3 linked regions of the Oreochromis niloticus genome follow. The main gene of each other region encodes a partner of the protein of the gene in region 3 in a complex. Links are inferred from orthologs where the notes say so. Each region holds a gene or a part of one and is shown on either strand. Other genes may lie near its edges.

The links.
Region 1: ppp4r4 (region 3) and smek1 share a complex: the UniProt entries of both Homo sapiens proteins name them as parts of the PP4 complex. The link is inferred for Oreochromis niloticus from reciprocal best matches to the Homo sapiens genes PPP4R4 and PPP4R3A.
Region 2: ppp4r4 (region 3) and ppp4r3b share a complex: the UniProt entries of both Homo sapiens proteins name them as parts of the PP4 complex. The link is inferred for Oreochromis niloticus from reciprocal best matches to the Homo sapiens genes PPP4R4 and PPP4R3B.

What each region holds. Positions count from the first base shown.
Region 1 is NC_031980.2:12,515,414-12,523,594, forward strand, and holds the start of smek1 (serine/threonine-protein phosphatase 4 regulatory subunit 3), read left to right. Parts: upstream 1-4,787; 5' UTR 4,788-5,779; coding exon 5,780-5,921; intron 5,922-6,101; coding exon 6,102-6,157; intron 6,158-6,248; coding exon 6,249-6,347; intron 6,348-6,495; coding exon 6,496-7,113; intron 7,114-7,931; coding exon 7,932-8,009; intron 8,010-8,103; coding exon 8,104-8,181. Other genes in the region: erh (enhancer of rudimentary homolog), read left to right, coding at 1,147-1,149, 1,591-1,678, 3,010-3,130, 3,228-3,336. UniProt on the Homo sapiens protein: Regulatory subunit of serine/threonine-protein phosphatase 4. May regulate the activity of PPP4C at centrosomal microtubule organizing centers.
Region 2 is NC_031978.2:10,561,482-10,568,967, reverse strand, and holds the start of ppp4r3b (serine/threonine-protein phosphatase 4 regulatory subunit 3B), read right to left. Parts: upstream 3,126-7,486; 5' UTR 2,836-3,125; coding exon 2,694-2,835; intron 2,162-2,693; coding exon 2,106-2,161; intron 105-2,105; coding exon 6-104; intron 1-5. Other genes in the region: pnpt1 (polyribonucleotide nucleotidyltransferase 1, mitochondrial), read right to left, coding at 5,594-5,749, 5,829-5,876, 5,966-6,044, 6,185-6,240, 6,669-6,775, 6,926-7,009, 7,110-7,193, 7,280-7,343. UniProt on the Homo sapiens protein: Regulatory subunit of serine/threonine-protein phosphatase 4 (PP4). May regulate the activity of PPP4C at centrosomal microtubule organizing centers.
Region 3 is NC_031980.2:26,952,518-26,960,967, reverse strand, and holds the start of ppp4r4 (serine/threonine-protein phosphatase 4 regulatory subunit 4), read right to left. Parts: upstream 3,359-8,450; 5' UTR 2,444-3,358; coding exon 2,336-2,443; intron 1-2,335. Other genes in the region: ankyrin repeat and SOCS box protein 2, read left to right, coding at 4,679-4,959, 5,356-5,525. UniProt on the Homo sapiens protein: Putative regulatory subunit of serine/threonine-protein phosphatase 4.

The sequences.
Region 1 (8,181 bases), about 14 Mb from region 3:
CCACTGATATCTCCAAAAGTGCCCAGTCATGCTCCCGCTTTGAAGAAAATCAAGTGATTTTGGTACACAAATGCAGCCTATAGTGTACACCCCAAATAAAGAAAAAAAAGAAAAGAAAAACTAACCACATTATATATTTCATTTAAACATTTTTACCATCACAAATGTTATAGCTCTTGGCCCTGATTTCACTGTCTTTCAGTTTGTTTTTGTGATCTTCACTATGTCATTGTATGCTTTTTTGCCCTGTAAGTCGGGATTAAAACAAAACTAATTTCTTTGTAATTACTCAAATTGAATCATATATCCAATTAATAAATGTTCAGCTATGGTGTAATTTTGAAAAAAAAAAAATGCTTTATTTGCATCTTCATTTCTTGTCGGACATCATTACTGACATGTCAATACACAAGCAGGATAATAGTAAAAGCTACTCTGAGGTGCTCCCAAGTTCACAAGGGGTCACCACAACAGCTAGCTCCAAATGTATGCTGGATGTCTTTCCTGATGCAAACCTGAAGAGATTTGTGTGTCCTCTCAGTGATGAATGAGAGATCTTTCTATGTTATGTGAATGGGTAAACAGCTACACTATAATTGCTACAATTTAGATTTACATTTTTTTACACATGAAATAATTAGCAAGTGAGCTCACAAACTCATTAGGAAGGTAATTTATTAATTTATTTCCCACAAACTTCTGTACAACCAGAAGTCTTTTATGCAGGAGACTTGCAGGGGCTGACAAAGCACTCGGCCCCTGCTGGCCATTAAAAAGTAAGGCACCTTTAGATCGCTTCTCTGCTGACTACACTTTTCAACCTGGATCTATTTTTTTTTACAATGTCTATGATAATTTAAAAGAGAGAATTTAGAATAAATAATGTGTACCTTCACAAACAAAGTCTACTGAAAAAAACCACCTTTTAATCATTACCGTAGCATTATCGGACTTTTATTTTGAAGCCAAAACTATACTTTGGAGGGACTCAATTTTACAACCGGAAGAGTTCTTTTTCACTTCCCCTAAGTTTTTTTTTTAGACCAAACAGCTAAATCGCACGGGGTACTGAGAAGTTACGCTGAATACGATTTTTTTCAGTTTTGCATAGCCAGTAAATAGCGAGGCTTTGCGTTGAAAACAGAGATGGTAAGTGTGCTTTATTTTACATCTAAAGAGCTAATAATTCTCAGTTTAGGCCACACTAGCTTGTGCTAATCACACACAGCTAAGCTAACAAGCGTCGAGGCTAACGCTTTGCAATTCTTGTTAAACACGCATTTTTGCCCACCGCTTCTGTGTTTCTTATAACTTAATTTCATCATCTAATCAAATTACATATTTTTATTAAAGTGAGATGTGGCTGAAGTAACGTTAGGCTGGATGTTTTGTAAAAGACTGATGAAGTCGGTGGTCTGCAGCTGAATGACCATCCTTACACTGGAGTTGGAAAATGTCTGGGCAGAAGGTTACACAAGTTTCAAAAACTCGCAAAAAAAACCTCTAATTAGCTGCCCGATTAAGGTGATTTGGTTTGACACAGAGAAACTGCGTGGCGGTGTGTATTAAACATTATCAATCATTTTACAGTCGCACACAATTTTGCTTGTCCAACCAACCAAGAGACCAGAGGGCCGCACATACGCTGACTATGAGTCAGTTAATGAATGCATGGAGGGTGAGTCTGTTTAATGTTTTCATTCATAATTCATCTCGCAGTTTTTTTTAATATTTACTTTCGTTGTAACAAGTAGTAGCAGCAGATGTAATTGTATTGTATTCATCATCTATTGTGATTCCTCATTCATTTTAAGGGATATTTTTCTCATAGTAAATACATACAAATGATAGGCCAGTAAATAATAAATTCATCCTAGTACCAAGTATTGTTTGTGTATGGGATTATGTGGTTAAGCCTAATTTGTGAAAAAAACAGACTGATAGTAATCACTTTTTAGTTTCTGGAAAGTAAAAAAGAGAACGTGAGAACGGACATGTTTTTTTTGTTTTTTTTAAATTATGTGACTCTTTAAACTATGGACTCAGGAAACCTGAAATTCATTTTTTTTATGTCAACATCCTACTTGTATAGCACAAAAAACTTGTAAACTTGTGCTTACTATAAAAGTTTAAAAACAACAACAACAAAATGTAATAAAGAATACAAAGGGTTTTAAATCTGTTTTTGAATGTCGTGTGTTTGCGGCTCTACATTAATGGATTTTGAACTGCAGTTAAGCTCTATTGAACAGAGATTAATCAAGGTTCACTTACACAAAGAATAATCATTGGTATCATATTCAGAACTGACTGTGATAAAAATACATGAATTTACTCAAGTTATCCATTACGTAGTAATGGGGTTTACAGATAATAAAGGCATTAAAGGGATATGATAAGTAAGAGGTGTTTACAATTGTGTTGTCTGTCTTGAACTGCAGTATACACTTTTCAGATTAAAACTACCTTATTAATCCCAGAGGAAATGATGTGGTCACAGTTGCTTTAAGACAGTAAGAACAGTAAATAACAAATTAATGTACCAGTTAAATACAGGATGTTTCAAAATGGCTCTAATAAATACAGATCGCTCTGATATATAAATATCCCAGGCTATTACACAAAATAAGTATAGGTGATGTGCCCTCTCATCATTTTAACTTTATTTTCTCTGTAAAGGATGTGACATTAACGGTATGCAGCTATTGCTGTTTGTGCACTTCTTTTTTTTTCCTTTCTTTTTTTAAAAAGCTTTTTTGGCTTTATTTTCATGTTCAAAGTGACGCAAAAGGTTTGTTTGTTTTCAGGGTATAAGTATATCACTTTATTCCCTTTATTAGGCCCTCTTTATTTATCCTGTCTTTCTCTTTCACTGAATACTGTACACCGTAATTCGCTATGAATTACTTTTGTTTTTTGCTGTTTTAGCCTTTTCCTGTGGATTGCATTTTTTTGTTGTTGTTTTTGCTGTTTTGCTTCCATTCAGCATGTCATCTGCCTCTCCCCCAGGTGTTTGCAAAATGTATGAAGAGCATCTCAAGAGGATGAATCCAAACAGTCCCTCCATTACTTATGACATTAGTCAGTTGTTTGACTTTATTGATGACTTGGCAGATCTGAGCTGTCTTGTGTAAGTATAATTAGCTGTCTATGAATTTGAATGCAACACAACATTCCCTTTGGATGCATTGGTCACATTTCAATAAAATATTTTACTTTTTATGCAGATATAGAGCTGACACTCAAACATATCAACCATACAACAAAGACTGGATAAAGGAGAAGATATACGTCCTCTTGCGGCGTCAGGCTCAGCAAGCGGCTAAGTCAGTTTGACAGGGGGGATTCTTTCATATTGTACCAAACATGAGGAAGAGAGATTGGAAAAAATTGGGGGATGTGAAAAAAAATTGGGGATTTTCTTTTTGGAATTGTCATCCTTGGCAGCGTGTGTGTGTGTTTGTAATTTGTAATGCAAAGCCCTTTTCAGACATGGTTCCACCACTGTGCTTAAGCGACGGCACTTTTTTCATTCAGACACGTAAGCTCTTTTCACACGTGCACTGCAGCCTGAAGTCTTTCTTGACATTACCTGAGAGAGGTGCATGTAAGAACACAAAGGTGTGATGCAGTTGGATTGGACATTAAATGGATTTCAGCCTGGAACAAAATTCATGTGATGTGCATAGAAACTTAGTAGTCATATTGTGTCTTTTCTATAGGATATTGCTATCATGCAGCTCCCTCGCCTAAACCACATGGAAGGCTTGCTTTTGTGTTACGTGTGAGAAAGAAAAGTTTACACAATGTCCTGATATGCCTGTTCCAACATTTTAAGTTTGTGTGTGACAACGGCTATACTGGCAAAAGTGTCATTGATCTCGCAGGACATTTGCCATACATGAATTCATTCGTATTCATTACCTTTTGAAAGTAATACATTTAAAAAAACTAATAAGGTTAGTTATTTAATTATGAATCTGACATGTGCCATCAAATGGCTTAAAAGGACTACATGTATGAAAAGGGCTTCTTTCTTTTTTTTCTTTGTAAAGACTGCATTGCCCATTTAACAAAGGGAATGTTTTCACATCATGCTCATTGGCAAAAGAGGCTTGGAAAAAATGGGGTGAAATTGTACATTTTGGGCTTTATACTGAAAAATTGGGTCATGGTTGGGAACCTGCATGTTTATAAGTTGTTACACTATGATGAGAAGAATGGGACTTTGTGGGCTAAGCATGGAGAAATACTCCGCGGGGTAGAAAAACTTTCTTTGTGTGTGTTTTTCAGTTTCCTTAAAAGTTATGTGAATTTTATTTTTTTCCCTATGTACATTTTCCTGGGAGGTTGAATTTCAAGACGTTGTGGACTTTGAAAGCAGCCGTTTTATTTTTGAAGTAGATCAGTGGCTGAAGACTGATGATCACATGACAACCCAGGAGATTTGTTACTATAATTAATGGAAAGTTTTGAGTTTTCATTATGTTTTAAAAGCCTACCATTGTGATATAAAACGTTTTTGTAATCCTGTTGTTTTGCATAACATCTGATTTCAACTCTCCATTTCTGTTTTCTTTTATTGAAACAAAATAAACGATTGTTTCTGACTGGTGTCCACTCATAAATATGCGACCATTAGTGCGATGAACACTGAATTTTTATACACAATGATAGTGTGGCTGACTGCTAAGTATTGCAAAAGTTAGACCATTCATGCTGGACGTGGCCTCAAGTTCAGTTTATTTTCTCTGTTACTGTCTCTTTAAATGTGGCGGGCTGCCCTGTTGTTGCCGTGCTGGAAACCCCGTACTGACTGTGAAGGGACCCAAGATGGCTGAATACTCACGGGGGGCACTTAGCAATTATCTGAGCAAGACATCGGCAATGAATGGCAAATAGCAGTATAATGTAAAGCGTAACCTTCAAGTAATTATACGACTCCAGTTTGTTGGTTTGCACAGTTTTTGGGATGCATGAGTAAGAGTAAGGAGAGAGTGGTCTCTCCGCGGCCCCGAGCCAGAACATGGCGGAACACTTGGGGAAGAAATAGCAGCTAACGTTAGCTAGCTGGCGTATTATTTAAAGAAGAATAGAAACATTGTTCCAGGCTTAAAACGGGTGTCTGTTGTCCGCAAGTATAAAGTAATGTTATCGACAGCTAACTCTAGTTAATCTGCTTCAAATGGTAGTTTAACATTGAATATATGGAGCGTAGGTACTTAGCGTACTAGCTAGCGAGTTAACTCGTAAGGGTTGATAGCTAACGTTACCTGTAAGCGTACAAACTGTACATATAAGCAGGAGTGTTTCGTGGGCCAGTCATCGTAACATTTGCTTCTTTTTCAGTACTCTGTTCTCAGCTGTATATTGTAGTGACATTCGTTGTTTTGTCGTTTAACGCGTAAGCTAACGACGTCCTCCGCTCTTTAATTTGTCGTTAGCTTCCTACAATGGTTTGTACGCGGATTCTGCGTGGCGCCTTGCCTATAGTGCTGGCAGTCTAAGTTTTGAGGCAGCTCGTCAAGAAATGCGAGATATTGCAGTAGTAATTTTAACAACGATTGCGGAATCCTGCTGGAAAGTTGTTGAGGCGTTCCACTTTTAAGTTGCTTTTTAGAACTTATCCTAAGTGACCCCCCGCCGCTTCATATTTAGTTAATACTCTTGTAGAAGTGAGCAGCTGTAAAAAGTGAATTGAAGTTGTGGCGTTACTAGGTGAAGAAGACACCCCGTAAAAGGCCCGGAAGGGGAGAACGGGTTACAAGAAACTGCCAGGATGACGGACACTCGTCGGCGAGTCAAAGTCTATACCCTCAATGAGGACAGACAGTGGGATGACCGTGGGACCGGGCACGTCTCGTCGGGCTATGTGGAGCGCTTGAAAGGCACGTCTCTCCTGGTGCGAGCAGAGAGCGATGGTAAGCGAACATAGGAATGCCACGCGATTATTGTAGTAGCTCAGTTATTACTACAAAAACAATACCTTCCGCGCACTAATTTTAACCACCTGTATCACCTGAAATTTGCACATGTATTACTCGTTTGAAGCAAATGCAGTAACCTACAATTTTGGGCTACCTTTGTGTTAAACCTGACAGGTTCCCTTCTGCTGGAGTCCAAAATTAACCCAAACACAGCCTACCAGAAACAACAGGTCAGTACATAACATGATGAACATACAAAACTGAATTTTTTTCCCCATTCTGCTGTTTATTTTAAATTGGCTTTGTTTTTCTTTTGAAAAGGACACATTGATAGTGTGGTCAGAGGCTGAAAATTATGATCTAGCACTCAGTTTCCAGGAGAAGGCTGGCTGTGATGAAATCTGGGAGAAAATATGCCAGGTTAGTGTACTTCATTTGTGTGGGTTTGAGTTTTTTTTTATCTCCATTAGTTTGTGGATTTGATGCTATTTGTGTTACCGGTGATCCCTTATGTAGTTACATCCTGAGGTTCTAATATGTTTGTCCACACTTATGTTTTATTGTTAAGGTGCAGGGAAAGGACCCTTCAGTTGACATCACACAGGATGTGGTGGACGAATCGGAGGAGGAGCGTTTTGATGACATGTCATCCCCAGGTTTGGAATTACCGCCATGCGAACTGAACCGTTTGGAGGACCTGGCCGAGCTGGTGGGCTCTTCTCTCCCATCACCACTGCGACGTGAAAAACTAGCACTGGCTGTGGAGAATGAAGGCTATATTCGCAAGCTCCTGGAATTGTTCCGTGTTTGTGAGGATTTGGAGAACAGAGAGGGACTGCACCACCTGTATGAAATAATGAAAGGCATCTTCCTGCTGAATCGTACTGCACTCTTTGAGGTGATGTTCTCTGATGAGTGCATAATGGACGTCATTGGTTGCCTGGAGTTTGACCCAACACTCCCGCAGCCAAGGCGGCATCGTGAGTTTCTCACTAAAACAGCCCGGTTTAAGGAGGTGATCCCCATCTCTGATCCTGAACTGCGTCAGAAAATTCACCAGACATATCGGGTGCAGTATATTCAGGATATGGTGCTGCCCACGCCCTCTGTTTTTGAGGAAAACATGCTGTCCACCTTGCACTCCTTCATCTTTTTCAACAAGGTGGAGATTGTGGGCATGCTACAGGTGAGATAAGCAGACATGTAGTATGATCTAATAGTATGGAGTTGTTGTTTTTACTTTGTGTAAACACTACATTTTAATTAAAATGGTTTAATTGAAGCAAGTGTTATAAATAGGTAAACTTGTGAATGTACTGTAATCCTCACAAAGGAGAATTTCTTTTATGAAATGTTAGTGAGGCTCGAATTACAGTAATTATAGGATTGTACATTGGTTTTATTTTTGACTGATTGTACTTTTACCCTGTCTGAGATTGTCTGGCAGCCTTTTATGATCATGTGACCTTTGTGTTTTTATCCTGTGTCAACTCAGCATTGTTTATGTATGGCTGTCTCCATGGAGGCACAGTAGTGTTGTGTAAATCTGTTATGCTGCGCTAGAGGAAAACTGAAACGGGCACATTGTTGACTCTGGTGTTCTTTGCTATATCACGCTCTGAAGTCAAACACTACAGATATGAGTCTTTCCTTCCTTAATTAGCATAGGGCAGGCAAGCTTAAATCAAGCGGTTCACTAACCAAGGTTTTAAAAAATATTTAAAGTGGTAGTAGATGTCATTGAATGAGACAGTGTTTTCAGCATAAACAAATCAAAAGTATTCTTATGACCAGATAGGTCACATTGTTTATGCTCCAAATTTCTCATTGACAAACATGATGGAATTCACTTTTGTTTTCTGTGTAATTATGTCGGACTTGTACCATTGTAAACCAATAACAGCTTTGTAACTTGTGAAAATTGGGTGTCTGGCATACATTGACATATTAATCATACTCTTAATACTGACTTCTTAAAATCTCATCTCCCTTTTTTGATGTCAGGACGATGAGAAGTTCCTGACAGACCTCTTTGCACAGCTAACAGATGAGGCCACAGATGATGACAAAAGACACGAACTGGTATATCAGAATTTAATAATTTATTAAAAGTTGTTGCAGTCACAAACTATTAAGATCTTTGTTTTGTTGACCTCTGTTTGTTTATTCCTTTTAGGTAAACTTCCTAAAGGAGTTCTGTGCATTCTCTCAAACATTACAACCTCAAAACAGGGATGCTTTCTTCAAGACATTA
Region 2 (7,486 bases), on a different chromosome or scaffold from region 3:
TTTACCTGGCAAATTCTTTCCCAGATCTCATCACAGCCAGCCTTTTCCTGGAAACTGAGTGCAAGGTCATAGTTATCTGCTTCTGACCAGACAATCAATGTGTCCTGGAACAAAGACAAAGGATTATTAAACTTTACACACTGACATGCTTAACTCTTTCACAGGAGGCACTTACAGACACACACACACTTATTCATTAAATTGTATGTTAACTGAACACATGCCTACAAATGTACACACACACACACAGGCAGCAAACGAAAATAAAAACGTCAACATTTAACTCCTGCAGACAGAGGATCTTGTGGCTCCGTTATGCCTTCTTGTATGTATTGCTGGCAGGATTTGGGTGCAAATCCTTGAAGTGTATCTGAGGGATAAAGCTTTCTATCCTGGTGGGAATGCACTCCTCTAGCATGACAGTGACTTATCCACAGAGTATGAAAATGGTTTGAACAAAAGTCTACAACAGACAAAGCAAGTTAAACACATGCAGAATATCTTTTTTGTACCTAGCTTCACCAAGGTGGTTATCAACTCTAAGTCAAACGAGCGTTTTCCGATCTAGCTATGACCACATTCACATGAAAGAGGCAGCAATGGCAGCATGACCAACCAGAAACATGAACCGGTCTATTAGCAGCTGAGGGGCATAGTTTATGAATACTATCATGCTATAAAATTAGCATTATATAACATGAAGTAGGTAAACAGATAATACAGACTCGCTGCAACACAACTGCTGCAGCCAAAACAACAGTGTCAGTCTGTGTGAGAAGAAAAGCACTGTGTAGTATTGTAGTATTGTTATATATGTCTTAAAGTAATAATGATTAAAGTATCAAAGTAAATAGTAAAGTGTGTACAAATTCTGATAATTTAAGGCAACAAACTTACTGTCAAAGATCTGGGAAGACCTCATTACTATATTACAATAAAAAGAAGCTAATCACATTTAGATTTGCTGCTTCTTTCACTCAATTTGAAATAGTCTAAGGGCAAGTAGAGACAAAATTTAACAAAATAAAATTTTTCAAACAGGTAAGCAGCCAACTTGCAAATGTTTCATGACGTCAGAAACGAAAAGGTTTAAATTCTCTGTTTTAGTATCATTTCAACGTATTACAGCCTACACAACAATAAAGTTGTTTTAATATTGTTTGCAGTCAACAGGAAAGAAGCAAGGAATAAAGTTGCCCCCAAGAATCTCTATTTCTTACCGATGCTGATCTGAGACAAACTTCAGATTCTCTTACTATCTGCACACTAAGCTCTAATTGATCTTCCATGCATTATTTCATAGAAATAATTGTTCCATGGGATCCAATTGATCTCTTGTCTCAAACATGACCCTTTCCTGAGGAGATTAGGTGTGGAGTGTAAATTACCAGAGTAATCTATTTCATAAGAAGTAAACCACCTCCAAAACACCGGAAATCCAGGAATAAACCTGAAGTTAGCCAGACTCGACCTTAATCATTAATAATGCTATAAATTTTTAGGTCATATAAAAGTGTCATATCACAATAACACTGATACATAAAAAAAAAACACAACAACAAAACACGCCTCAACATGTCTGAGAACAAGAGCTGCTGTCAGCCTCCAGTACCTAAAAAAAAGGAAGTTATTCAACCTTCAACAAAGAGCAGTAATTTTAAAGACATGCAAAAATATTTAGAAAAAGGTGGAAAATATTTTTCTTTATTTATGAGACAATATTGTGCAGCTCCTGAAGAGTTACAAGGTTAAGGTTAAGTTGAATTAGTTAAAGGTTTCATTAACTACAGCAGCTCACTGTTAAAGGAGGGTGGAAATTGTCTTTCAGACACTTACCTATAAATGCGGGAAGACTTCTTATTTATGCCATAATTCTAATGACACCTTAATTTACAAACAGGTGTGGCGCATGTGTGGTAATTACTCATGGCATTACCCGATTATTACTCGATACCAAGTTTACAATTGCATCAGTCAGCCAATTTCTACTGTCTCGCCTAGATTACAGTAACTATCCAGCAGCAGATCTCAAACCAGTGTTGGGATTATTGAAATGTGTGTGCTATCTGTAACTGAGCCAGACTCAGGTAATAATAAAAACTTACCTGTTGTTTCTGATATGCAGTATTAGGACTTATCTTCGATTCCAATAGCAGTGATCCTAAAGCACAGAGATATAGGTGACTAAATATTCAAGCCAGTTAGAAAACCGGTTCTTTAAAGACGAGGTTTGTTATTCTGTCTAGAAATAAACAGTTATGGCTATGCAAATACACACACAAAAAACAATCGAATTAAACTAAAATGCTCAAACACAAAGGTAAAATAACTACAACAGGCCTTGGGTTCTACTGTAATAACCTTATGTACTTTCTTTGTCACATACATGAACCACAAAGAGCAATAACAAGTTTATACGTTCAGACTTTCAGGGGCACCATGCTACCGAGATCCCGTCGGACCAAACTAATGAGCATGCTAGCAACAGCTATTCAATAAATATTTGCAATTTATTGAGAGACGTGCCTAATATTAACAGTTCTGGCACTATGACGGTGAAGTCTGCCCCACATGTAGAAAAAAAGTCTAATAAGGTAATCTGGTACCCACTGTGGGCAATCGAAGCGCTCTCTCCGAACAACCAGGAGTTAGCATGCTAACCACCGTAACAGCTATGCTAACAGGGAACTTACCGTCCGATTCAGCCCGAACTAATAACGATATCCCCCTCAGTCGTTCGACAAATGTAGACGAAACGTGCCCGGTACCCCGATCATCCCATTGCCGATCTTCATTCAGCGTATATACCTTCACTCGCCGCCGAGTGTCCGACATGGTTTAAACGAGTCGGAGCTAGCAGGCTAGCTTTCTGCTAACAAGCTATCACCTCACCCGTCTAGTGTTTTCCTCGACCTGTTAACTTTGTTTCCAACCGCATGTTATAAAACATGCATGTTTAAATTTAGTTCCCAACAGCAGCAAAATATATTAGTAGGTATTTCATAAACATATTACGACGTGAATCTACTTATTAAGGGGCCTAATATTAAACTGTAAAATTCTGAGAGAACACAACAACTCTAACGGCCTTCTTGCTAACGTCCACAGACCGCCATCTTGTAATCCGATCTTGTGTTCTTTTTCTTTTTCTACGTCAATCAAGCGCTAACTGCCGCGGGGTCTCCTCCCCCGGGCGGCATCGTCCAATGGCAGAACTGCGGCTCCCCCAGCTCACCGCGTCACCTACGGTGGAGATAGGTAATAGCACCCACAGTCGTTTGCAGATGTTGGCATGATGTACAGATGTGATTTGGTTCAGCTTGTTTAATTCATAGAGGAAGCAGATACTTACTTAACGCAGAAGATTAACAGAGTTTTTCACGTTAATTAATCACAATCATAACTGCCAATTTTTTTTTTTTACACAAACGAGGAATTTTTCTTGGAAAAAGCAACACTTCAAGCCATGATCTACAGAGAAAGAGAGAAAGGAATAAAATCTTAATGTTTTTTTTGGCATAAATTCCTAGACTTCTAGGAAAATATTCTTCAGACTAATGAGACAAAAGATTAACTTTTTGGTAAGTAAAACTATCATTTAATTAAAAGACTATCAAAGCAACAGTCAAACATGGTGACGGTAGTGTGATGGTCCGGGGCTGGTTTGCTGCTTTATGACTTGGAAAATGCAGCTGATGAAACCGTGAAGTCTGTCCTCTACCAGAAAATCATGAAGGAGAATGTCCAGCCATCTGAAATTTTAGCAGACTTGGGTTATGTGGCAAGACAATGATCCAAAACACCAAAACTTCACTCAATGTCACAAAAAAAACAAAAACAAAACAAAGGTTTGGAATTGGTCTATTCAAAGTTGGGACCTAAATTAGATGCATGACCTTAAACAGGCCGTTCATGTTCAAATAACTCCCAACATGACTGAATTAAAACTATTCTGCAGAGAAAGGTGAGCCACAGAGGATCATCTGCCTCCATCACAGTCCATCCTCCTGTCACACCAACCTTCCTCTGCATCCATGAATCTTCTCGGAGGTCATCCTCTTGTCCTCCTGTCTGGCAAGCTCCATCTTCAACATCCTTTGTCCAACATATCCACAAATTACCTCGACAGTCACTCCACCCTGCGTATACTGTCTTGTTCACTGTCCGTTGTTTTGGATGGTAGCCCCGAGGTATTTAAACTCATGCACATGTATTCTGTCTTGCTTCTACTGATTTTCATTCCTCCTCTCTCCAGCTCTGTAGGCCCTTCCTGATGCAACCCTACATATTAGGACTAAGACTTTTAGATTAAGGCTGAACAGAGAAACACTTAATTCTTCTGTAAGACTCCAAAGAGTTATTAGATCTTTCCCTGTCCAATATTATGCAATAAATTGTTTTAAATAAATGTTGAAATTTTACAGCTCTCCTGTTATCATCTCCACCATCCAGTTTCTTTTAAGGACCCACTGGATGAACCTTTCCTATTGTGAAGCAAATGTCTTTTTTAAAACATGCTGAAGCAGTACCTGTGTGCCTGCATGTGGCCACTGAAACATGCAATTAAATCAGCTTTTTATTAAGAAAATTTGACAAGCATGCACTCAGTACATTCTGGCATGGTTGGAAGGTGTTTTGTTGACTTAAAGACATGAATAAAGCAATCATTAATGACTTTATTTACATATTACGTCTCCATACTGCTACTCCTTTTAGATGCTGCCATAGTGGATCATCTGCCTTCAGCTCACCCTATCGCTTACATCCTTCTCTGCCACACGAGCTCTCTGCAGGTCCTCCTTCTCTACATTAATGAAGCTTCTCTTTTCCTCCTTTCTGGCAGCTCCATAATCCCGACACAGAAAGTCCCAACTCTCATTTCCAAACCTTTCCTTCTCTCCTGCTGCCTCCCTCTTTCCTCTTTCTTTGTCCTTGCACAGCAGTTTCCACCAGCACCCTGCTGGTCAACAGCACCATTGGTAGTCGTTCATTCTTGACGATCCACATATTTGATTTGAAGATTTTACATCGGATCCCCTTCCTGACCTATTTATCCATGGTTGGTAACAGCACTAGGAGTACACTGGCATGTGGCCCACCCGTGGCTGGTTATTTATTTACATTTTAGTTACTCACATATAATATAAATGCGACACCATATAAAGATTAAGAAAACACCTCTCTTTAACACGTCACCCACTTGCCTTTCTTTTCTTTAGTGGACACACTGCTACAGCACATACCAAATATGCCTCAAGAGGCAACATTATCACACACGTGAATGACAGAAGCACTGTTGTTGTGTAATGAAAGAAAAATCTTAAAACTTTGATACAGTCAAACAACAGAGCATGAAAATGGGTAGACACTTGTATTTTTGAAAATGTTTGCCTCCTCGTCTTATCCCTTTGTTTGTGCAAATTCTCCGAGGCATGATGTCAGCAGCATTTTTGCCACATCCATACTCTCAGCAGCGGAGTAACCTTCTTTATGTATAGTTCATAACAAGATCTGTTGTTTGAAAAGGGAAATTTGACTCAGTCCAAGTCTACTCTGACAGAAAAGCCAGAAGTTAGGCAGTCATGGGGGAGTGTCACGAATCTGTACTGGTCGTCTGCATGTCGCTTGAACCCATGGAGATGCTCTGTTTGTCATTCAGTCTCTTTACGACGCTTGCAGCAGTAGACTGGAGCACCTTCCGTGAAAGCCTCATTCTGCCATCTGTTGGGTCCCGTCCAAAATACTTGACCTGTTAGCAGAACACAGTTTAGATACAAGCATCCCAGACTGAAATTAGCAATGCCTTGTCTGCAGTAACCGAGACGCACCTGTATCTCCTGTCCCACCTCTAAACCCAAAGCACTTGGATGTTTGATCTAAAAGGAAAATAAAGGAAGTGACTTAAGTAAAAATTCTACCATCAGACTCAAAAGGAAAACCATTTTACGCAGACAAATTCACAAACCCGTTTGTGGTCCAGCTGCGAGTTGTGCAGCAGGACAGGAGTCATGTTGGGATAAAGTTTCACCATCACGCCAATGTCCCTAAAGCAGAGGAGCAGAAGAACAGATGAGCTGTATGAAGGCTGCAAGATTTTATTTATACATAAATCAGTTTCCAAGTGTGGGGAAATAACTGTAAACAAACACTGTTTGTTGGTAAATAACGCATTGTTTTAGTTTACCTTATTTCTGTGATGGTGGCAGTGTAGATAGCACCAAACTCCAGCTGCTGTTCTTGCTGCAAAACAAAGAAATACACCAATTTTCACCTACATACATTATGAATATGTGTAATATGTGTAAGCAGTTGTTCTTAATGTTTTGATTTGTTTATCCAGGTAATGTTTGCATTGTGGTATAAAACAGCAATTGAGTTTATAAATGTGCATAAAAGGGTGCAAAGAAACTATCAGAATATAGAAATATAGAAATATAAAACCTCTTTCCTTGTTTTATTAGAGCATGCTGAGAGCTTTCCTGTTTTTTTAAGTGTATTGATCAGGATTATTTCTCTTATTTCTTTGTTTAAATGCCATCTTGCTTAAGCTTTATACTATATTTCTCTTTTTTTAATTTGTTTCGGGTTCTCTGTAGAGCACATTTTAACACAATTTTTGAAAGGCTCTGAATAAAGACAGAAGGTAATTACAAGAGGGGGAGACTCACATCGTCTTTGCAGATCTCGCTGATGAAGTGTTGGGCTTCGTTCATGGCTCCTGGTGTTGGAGCGAACACGGAAAAAGTCTCCTCGTCTACCTGACTTATTGTCACACCTGAAACCAAAGAAGAAAATGTGGTGACGTTTTTATATTCTGGACAACAGTTTCTATTATGAAAAAACGAATCTGTGTGCTGCTGGATTAGCATCACGTCACCATCACATTCCAAGTTGCCTTTTTCAGACTTTATTACTTATGCATTACCTGTTTGAGCTTGAAGCCTGCGGAGGTTGTAGCCTCCAGGGCCAACAAAGCGAGCTCGCCTTGAGACAGGTACTCGAACATTTTCTGAAGACAGAAAACATCACATATTGGAACAGATGACATTAAAAACTTTCTATTAAATATTGCATATTTCTGTATACATACATATTCATGCATAACCTACCAACAACAGGTCCATTCTCTTTCCTGCTCTCTCTGGGTTTTGCTATGCATTTGTTCATAATGCCCAAGATTTCCCTCTTTGCCACTGAAACACAACAACAGGCAAATGCCACAAAAGAGCCATGCAAATAAAATTTTAATACAGGGTATATTTCTCAGTTTTGGGCCTACCTGTGGCCTGTTGGATTGCCTCCATGACCACCTTCAGTGGCAACCCAGGAATCTTCACATCAGCCTGGAGGTAAAATAAAGAAAAATTAGTAGCTATCATTGGTTTACTGTTAATACATTTCATCTTTATCAGAAAGACATTAATGTTTCGCTTGTGTCCACCACACAGTCCGTTAAGCAGAGCAACACTTTCACTAAGAAGAATCC
Region 3 (8,450 bases):
GGTGTTGTTAAATTGTTGTTTACTGTGGACAGTACAATTTGTACTCTTTACCATGCTGATGTAGGACAAAAGTTTCCCTTGTGGGATCAATAAAGCTCTCTCTCTCTCTCTCTCTCTCTCTTTCTTTCACACACTCTCAAAGCTGATCCTGATTTTCCTTCAGCCTCTTCTTTTTATTTAAAAAGATAGAAAAACCTGAGCATAAAATTGATTTTTGAGCCACTAATTCACGCTGCTCTTGGCAGAATGTTGATTTTTACCTGGCTGCATCTTTGTTACTAAATTACAGCCCATTGTTAATAAATCATCCTACAATTACAGGGATGAGGTCCAAAGACTGCTAGGGTAGTGTGCAGACAACAACTTAATCCGTAACACCCCTAGACCAAAGAACTGATCACTGATTTCAGGAGGAGGAAGTCCAACCTGCAGCACATCTACGTCAATAGAGTGGATGGAGAGGGTGTCCAGCTTCAAGCTCTTGAATGTGTATATCAGAATCAGAATCAGAATGCTTTATTAATTCTGATTCTGATATGGACACAGACCTCCAATGGAGCTCAAACACCTTGGAAATTGTGAAGAAGGCCTTTGAGGGTGTGGTGATGTATTGCATCTCTGTGTAGTTCTTGAGCCGCAGCATGGCACACAAGAAGGCATATTTATAATTGAGCTATTTGTATATATTAGAGCTATTTCTTATATTATGTAAACTTTGGATTATATAGTATTATTTACTATCTGTTACTGTTATTGTCTTGGATCAACTGTAACCCACACAATTTCCTTATTAAAGTATTCTGATTAAAAAGGGTTGCTAACATGGCCTAGAAAATCACTGAAGGACCGCTGTAACATCCGCTGTCTCAAAAAGGCACGCAACATCTTGCAGGACTGCACAAACCCAGGACACCAGGTGTTTAAGCGTCTGCCCTCTGGCAGTTATCTTGTGTATACGGTATTTATTTATTATTTTTTTGCTTGTCTCCATCATCACTGATCCCACCTGACCTGAAGTAAACATGACTCCTAAAGCCTCTAATACAACAAAGGACATTACTAATGATTACTAATGATCACTGATTATACAGAACCTTACACACACTTTGATCTGCTCATATAGATCAGGGGTGGGGAACTCCAGCCCTCAAGAGCCGGTGACCTGCAGGTTTTAGATCTCACCCTGGGTCAGCACACCTGAATCAAATGATTAGTTCATTACAAGGCCTCTGGAGAACTTCAAGACATGTTGAGGAGGTTATTAGCCATTTAAATCGGCTGTGTTGGATCAAGGACACATCTAAAACCTGCAGGACGCCAGCCCTTGAGGCCTGGAGTTTCCCCACCCCTGATATAGATCATAATCTTGAGCTCATACAGCGTTATGCATTCATGGAGCAACAACTCAACCGGAAGTAGTTTTATTCCAGCTGTGTAATGTTCAGATCTCAGCTGTGAGTTTAACAGCTATAAAAACTATAAATATATCAACGGGTTATGGATGAAACCACATAATTTCCTTAGGGATTATTAAAATATTCTAATCCTGAAATGGAAAATGCAGCTATGATGAATGTTCTCATGATCTGCTTCACTTTGTTTAATATGTTGACTGTTTTCATGAACGATCAGATGCTATGAATTAAGATTTGGCTTTTTCTCCTCCCTTTCATAAAGGATGCTCCAGTGTCTCCTCTGCTAAAGGAAGCAATAAAGGAAGCACTGAAGCTCCTTTCCTTAGTGTTTGGAGAAATGGAACAGCTCTTGTTATGGGCGCAACACAGATAATTCCAGGTTACGTCTGTCAATGAGGAACTGTCCTGAGCGTTTGCACGTGCAGGAAGGTCATGAGAGGACACGGAGAAGCTCACCTGAGGTCTGACTGACCACTGTCACCCATAACAACACATACACATGCACACAGTGTAGGTGTGTTTGTCGTCATCGCATCAGCTTTCTCCCGTAAGAACACCCAAGCTCCGCCTCCCCCCCCATTGTCATCATGGTGAAACCCCGCCCACACAGCTACAGGTGTAAGAACCAGGCAGCGCGTTTCTTTTCAGTTACTGATCAGTCATGATTAGCGACTGTCTTAAATTAGATCAGAGACAGCTTCACTCTGTTTCTCATGATTACTGATTAATCGACCAGTTATTGGCCGTTTTTCTCGGTGCACCTCAGACCTATCTGTCTCTCTGCAGACAGACAGGCGGACTAACTGCGTCATGCTGCGGGTCTCCCTTCTGCTTCTTCCACTGAGACTGCTGATCTTCCTCCCACTAACTCACCCTCCTCCTCATCACTTTACGTCTCTCTCTCTCACACACACACCCACCTTCAGGCTCCTACGGATCGGCCTCTCGATGAAGGCGAGTTCCTGCAGCTCCTCCAGCGGGCCGCACAGCACGCCAGCTGGGCTCAGGGCCATCCTGCCGGGTAACATCTGGCTGCTAGAGGGGGAGCAGTCGTATCAGCTCCGACCATCCCTGTTGAGGGGGCGGGGGTTGCGGATCTGTCACTAACCGTTTCCAAGGAGATCCCTGCTCGAGCTGAACGTCACTCCAGACTCCGTTCAAAAGTCTGACAAAGTCTCACGAATGCGCTCATTTGCACACGATGAGGGCTATCAGAGATCCCAAACAAAACCCGTCCACACACTCACGGCACGATCTGCGGTTCGGCGCTCACAGAACTGCGATTCCTCCAGAAAAATCCCCCCTAACATCCCAAACCGTCACACCGTTACCGGGATGTGTCACACGTTTCCAAGCAGATCAAGTGCAGCGCAGAGAAGCCGCAGCCAGACTGCATGTAAAAAGCTCCAGTTAACTCTTTTATTCCCCGAGGACTCTTCATTCACACCACCCTCAGTCCAAAACTCCGCACACGAAATTTATTCGGAGTAAATCTAAAGACTGAATGTAGGAAACCGCACAAACCGGGCGCGGGATGAATCAGATGGACCCCCTCTCTGGTTCGGCGCACATCTCCAAATATTCTGACGAAGTCCAGATCTTCTCCACCTGCTTCAGCTCAGGGTTGCGGTGGGAGCGTCACGCAGAACTGCGGCTGCGCTCCTCCGTGCTCCTTTGAGTCCGTCATCCTCGACAGTGCACAACCGAACCGAATCGCCCACTCTGTTGGTCTGTCATACGCAGACTGGTACCGGGCAGCGTCAAAGCTCAGAGACGGTATGAGGCTGATTTTCACACCAAAGGACGAAGAGGAGGAGGCTTCATCACCGTGAGTGACACGTGGGCAGCAGAGCGGGCTGAGCCAACCTAAACGGAGTCATGAGGCTGCAAGCCCGACCTGAACCGGGACCGGGAGATGAGCTGCAGGGTGTTAAGCTGGAGACGCAGTGCAGCAGCTGATCCGTCTCCATGGAAACGGCTGTCCGTGCTCATTCATAAAGTCCAGAACGTGTCTTCGATCCAGAACCCGCTCTCATTCTGAGCTGTCCCATCACCTGTAAACGCACCTGAAAGTTCAATAACCATCAAATAAAACTATCCACGTCACGTGCTTCAGATCCGCACTCATTTGTTTTATTTTGCAGGGTCAGGTGTTTCACTTTCTGCATTCAGGTTTTTCGTCTTTTTTCTGAAATGTTTTTTTTTTTTCACGTGAACATGAAGCTCACAGCTTATGTGATGAATGCCTCACCTGTCAAGCTCTGAGATTGTTTCCTGCTCTGTGTTCAATCACCATTTTAGGCCAGGTAATCACAGGTTAGCCCTGTTGGCCCTTTGTTAGATGCTAAGAGGTTTCTGAATGACCTGTAGTTGGGACAGAGCAGGCAGGTGAGCCACTTAAGTTACACTTACTGTCATACCGAGACAAAAACACATAATGCAAACAGATGGGGACAGGTGAGACCAGACAGACAGGAGGAGAAGGAGGAGGAGGAGAAGGAGGACAGGGGCTGACCTTCAGCTGCAGTCTCAGTGTCAGAGTTGGCTGACGATCCGGCTCATGAAAGCTCAGAGTTGATCAGACCTTCGGACTCTGAACCAGGACCTTCTGCTGCAGACCAGAGAGTGCTGCTTCCTGATTGGATTGTTTCACAGGTAGTACCCAATCAACAGTTTGTTTTATTTTATTTTTATATGTTTGAATATGGGGAACTTCAAACCACACTTGAATCCACTTTAATGTTGTTTTGTTTTTATCATCAAATTTAGATTTAAATCAAACAGTCAGTTCTGTGTTTACCAATTTTTAAATGATTCTGATTTAGAATTAATTTAGGTTAAATTTGTGTGTTTGAAATCATTGAATTTAAATCTGTGAGATGGGTTAGTAGTTGAGTCTTTCAAATTTTATCAGGCTGCTGTTGACCGACCGGGTTTAAAGGATTGATAACACAAATCAGTTAGTAGTTTTCTGGGCTGTTGTGAGCCTGGTTATGTGCATCGATCCTGTTTCCATCTGTGTTGTTGGTGGAGGCTGTTTTTCGGGTGCAGGACAGTAGATATTGCTGACACCAGCTCTCACAGTGTTTGAATTTTTGGCTTCAGCTTGGAGGAAACAAACACCGCTGACCCACAGTCTTGACATCATTCAGCAGCAGCTGAGGCCAAAACGCCATCACCTTGGATGACCCACTGCTGTCCACACGCTGCTGGCGTTAACGAGAAACACAGACAGCAAACCGTTTCCTGTTCCTCTGTCTGACATGGCAGTCTCTGAGCAGAACCTGGATGACTACAGCATCTACAGTCACCTGGCAGATGAGGAGCTGCTGCAGATCGCTGTCGAGAGAAGCTTGTCTGATAAACAGGCTTCATCATCATCATCATCAGGCCCAATCCAAACAAACCCTAACCCCACACACAGAGGTCCTGACCCCTCCAAAAGGGTGCAAACGGTTTCTGCACCTGAACCTGTCCCCCACATCCAAAACTGTATAAACCCTCCCACAGCCCTGTCACAGTTTCTCTACAAGGTCTACAAGAGGTGAGTCAGTTCGGAATGAAATGGAGCTCAGAGGATGGAAACATCCGCAAACATCAGAAAGCAGCAAGAGATCAATAGACATTTCAGAGTGAGTGTCAGACAGTCTGGAGATGGTTGCAGGGTGTGTGTGTGTGTGTGTGTGTGTGTGTGTGTGTGTGTGTGTGTGTGTGTGAGGAGGTGGGAGGGCTTGTTTCTGACTTGTGGTTCTAACTCTGTGTTAGTTCTTGCTCTGTGCTTGTGACTCTGTCGTTCTACTCTTGTTCTGTGTTTGTTCTGACTATCTGTTGGTTCTGTTATCGTGGTTTTGACTCTGTGTTGATTCCAGCGCAGCGGCTCTGTGTTGGATCTGACTCTGGTTCCAAGTCTGTCGTTCTGAAGGTTTGTGTGTTCCCTCAGAGAGGTCAGTCCGTTACAGTCCATCATCATGAGTGGGGATGCAGAGGCTCTGATGGAATTGGTCCGGAGGCGGTTAAGCAGCCTTATGGAGCCAAATGATGAAGGCTGGATCGCTCTTCATGAAGCTGCTTATTATGGACAGCTGCAGTGCATTAGGATCCTGGTCAGAGGTCAGGACACCTACTGCTTTCTGCTTCTCATTAAGCCTCTAACAACGCTACTTACCTTACTTCAGGAGTTAAAGGTGATCTTAATCACCAATAAAGCTTTACTTTGTGTTTTATGTGAAGGTTGATTTGTCATCTGTATTTCACATTAAAAAAACTTCTGCTTGAACAAAAGCTTGAGCTACGGTTGGGCAAACCCTCCAGTTTTATGTCTGTAACATGACATCTGACTTCAGATGTTTCCTCTTCAGATTTTCAGCTTCATTCACCTGCTTATGTTTTTATATCCACACTGTTCATTCATGATGGAAAAATGTGCTGATATGCAACAAAATGTTAGGCTCCTTTATTAATTTACTCTAAGGGTGACATGATCATAAGCTTCTGGGAAATCCAGATTTTTGTGTCCTGTACATGGACCCATTTTAATTGTACATGTAGTTAAAATGGTTAACTTGTTATATATAGTAAGATAGTAAAAATAAAAGAGTGAGTATATTAACATTAAAATAGCAAATATACAAGTTAAATACACATAAATACAGTTCTGCCAAAAAGGGCTCTTGCTGGTAGGTAGCAGCAGCCCTTGAGTGTGGGTGTTATTGTATATTGTGCCATGTCATGCTGGTGTTTTGCACTATGATGTAATGTTAAATTTGGCAACATTGTGTGAACATTGTACTGAATATTAACTGGACTATTGCAGGTTGAGGGTTGGTAAGTGAGGCTCACTAGGTCCATTCACTAGGCTTAGTGTTCAATGTTCTGATGGCCCAGGAAAAAAAGCTATTTTTCAGCCTGGCTGTAATGCCTTTTAAACACTGCTACCTCCTACCAGAGGGCATGAGGTGCTGTCCAAGGTGGGACAAGTCAGCGTCGATCTTCTCCTTTTCTCTCCTGAAACGCCAAGTGCTGGCTATGTCCTCTTGAGAGGGTAAGGGATAGCTAATGATCTTTTGTGCTGTCTTAATGACTCTCTGCAGGTTCTTCTTGTCCGCTACTGAGCAATTAACATACGAAACTGTGATTCAGTAGGTGAGGACACTCTCTATGGTGCTGTGGTAAAAAGCTACCATTAGTTTCTTATCCAGATGGTTTCTCCTCAGCATCCTAAGGAAGTGGAGTCTTTGTTGTAGTTTGTCAGCCAGGATTCCTGGAATGATCGTATTGGCAGAGTTCTTTTTAAAAAAATAACTCAGCCCTTATGTAAATACTAGGCCTCATAGGTGTTTATCCAATCAGTTTTCAGGAATCCCTACCAGCTTAACATTCTTACTTAAATATGGTCACTTTTTACTTAAAGAAAAAAACAAAACAAAACCCGCAAACCAATGAGTGAGGTCAGAGAGGCTATGCCTGTTATATAGTCAATGGTTTTTCACCACATTTGCTCAGTGATCAGTTGATGTGAGATCTGACCTCTAAACCACAAGACAGACTCTTATGTTGTGGTTAATCACTTCAGGAGAGGTCATGTGGAGGTCAGTGATGCTTCAGCTTCAAGTGTCATAATAGGACAGGATGCTTACATTAAACCATTTGACTAAACTTGCTGAGAAATTAAAGACATCTGTAGACCTTGTTTGTCAGGGCTCTGCGTGCGGGCAGGCGGAGAGGAGGATCCAAGCGCAGGACTCAGACACTAACTTGAAACTCAAAAACCTCAGCTTTATTGCTGGTACGAAAACAAAACATGAAGTGAACACACAGGCACGATCTGATGGTACGACACGACACCGAGCACGGGAAAACACAGGGCTTATATACACAGGGTAGTAATGAGGGAATGGACAACAGGAGGGCGACACAGCTGGGAGAGATCAGGGCTAACGAGACGGGGGGAACCAAGCTGCACACACTAACATAAGACAAAGACTTTCACAATAAAACAGGAAACATGAATTACTAAACAAGAACGCAGACTTGACACTGAGAGACAGAAAACACATGGAACTCAAACAATACATGAAACCACAAATCCTTAAACACAGAAACAAGAAACTAATAATCATCACCATCACAAGAGAATACGAAAACAATCCATCATTCAAAATTAAACCAAACCATAACTCAAAATACTGGGTCCAACGGACCCAGAACCGTGACATTGTTACTGAGAGCAGGTTATAACCGAAGGAAATCTTGTAGGAAAGACTACTGCTACTGCTAAAAGAAGTAATACCATTAGTTAATGATTCAGTCTTGAATATGATCAACCTCTCTCTTATCATTTGCTGTGTACCACAGGCCTTCAAGCTGGTAGTAAATAAACCATTACTTTAAAAGGCATCATTTGACCCTTTAACCAAGGCCAATCTCCAACCTTCCTTTCATATCAAAAGTTCTTGAATGAGCAGTTGTCAAACAGCTAACAGATCATCTGCAGAGGAATGGCTTATTTGAAGAGTTTCAGTCAGGTTTCAGAGCTCATCACAGCACAGAAACAGCTTTAGTGAAGGTTCCAAATGACCTTCTTATGGCCTCTGACAGTGGACTCATCTCTGTACTTGTGTACTTGTCCTGCTAGACCTCAGTGCAACGTTCAATACTGTCCACCATAATATCCTATTAGAGCCATTAGAGCATGCTGTAGGTATTACAGGTACTGCACTGCAGTGGTTTGTATCATATCTATCTAATAGACTCCAATTTGTTCATGTAAATGGAGAGTCCTCTTCCACAGAGTTCCACAGGGTGCTAGGACCAATTCTGTTTACATTATACATGCTTCCCTTGGGCAGTATCATCAGAAGGCATAGCATACATTTTCACTGCTATGCAGATGACACCCAACTGTGTGTGTTATCTGTGAAGCCAGATAACACACACCAATTGGTTAAACTTCAGAAATAGAATAGAATAGCCCTATATTGTCATTGTACATGTACAACAAAATTGTGGGTTACTCATACCATGCCTCAGATTTGT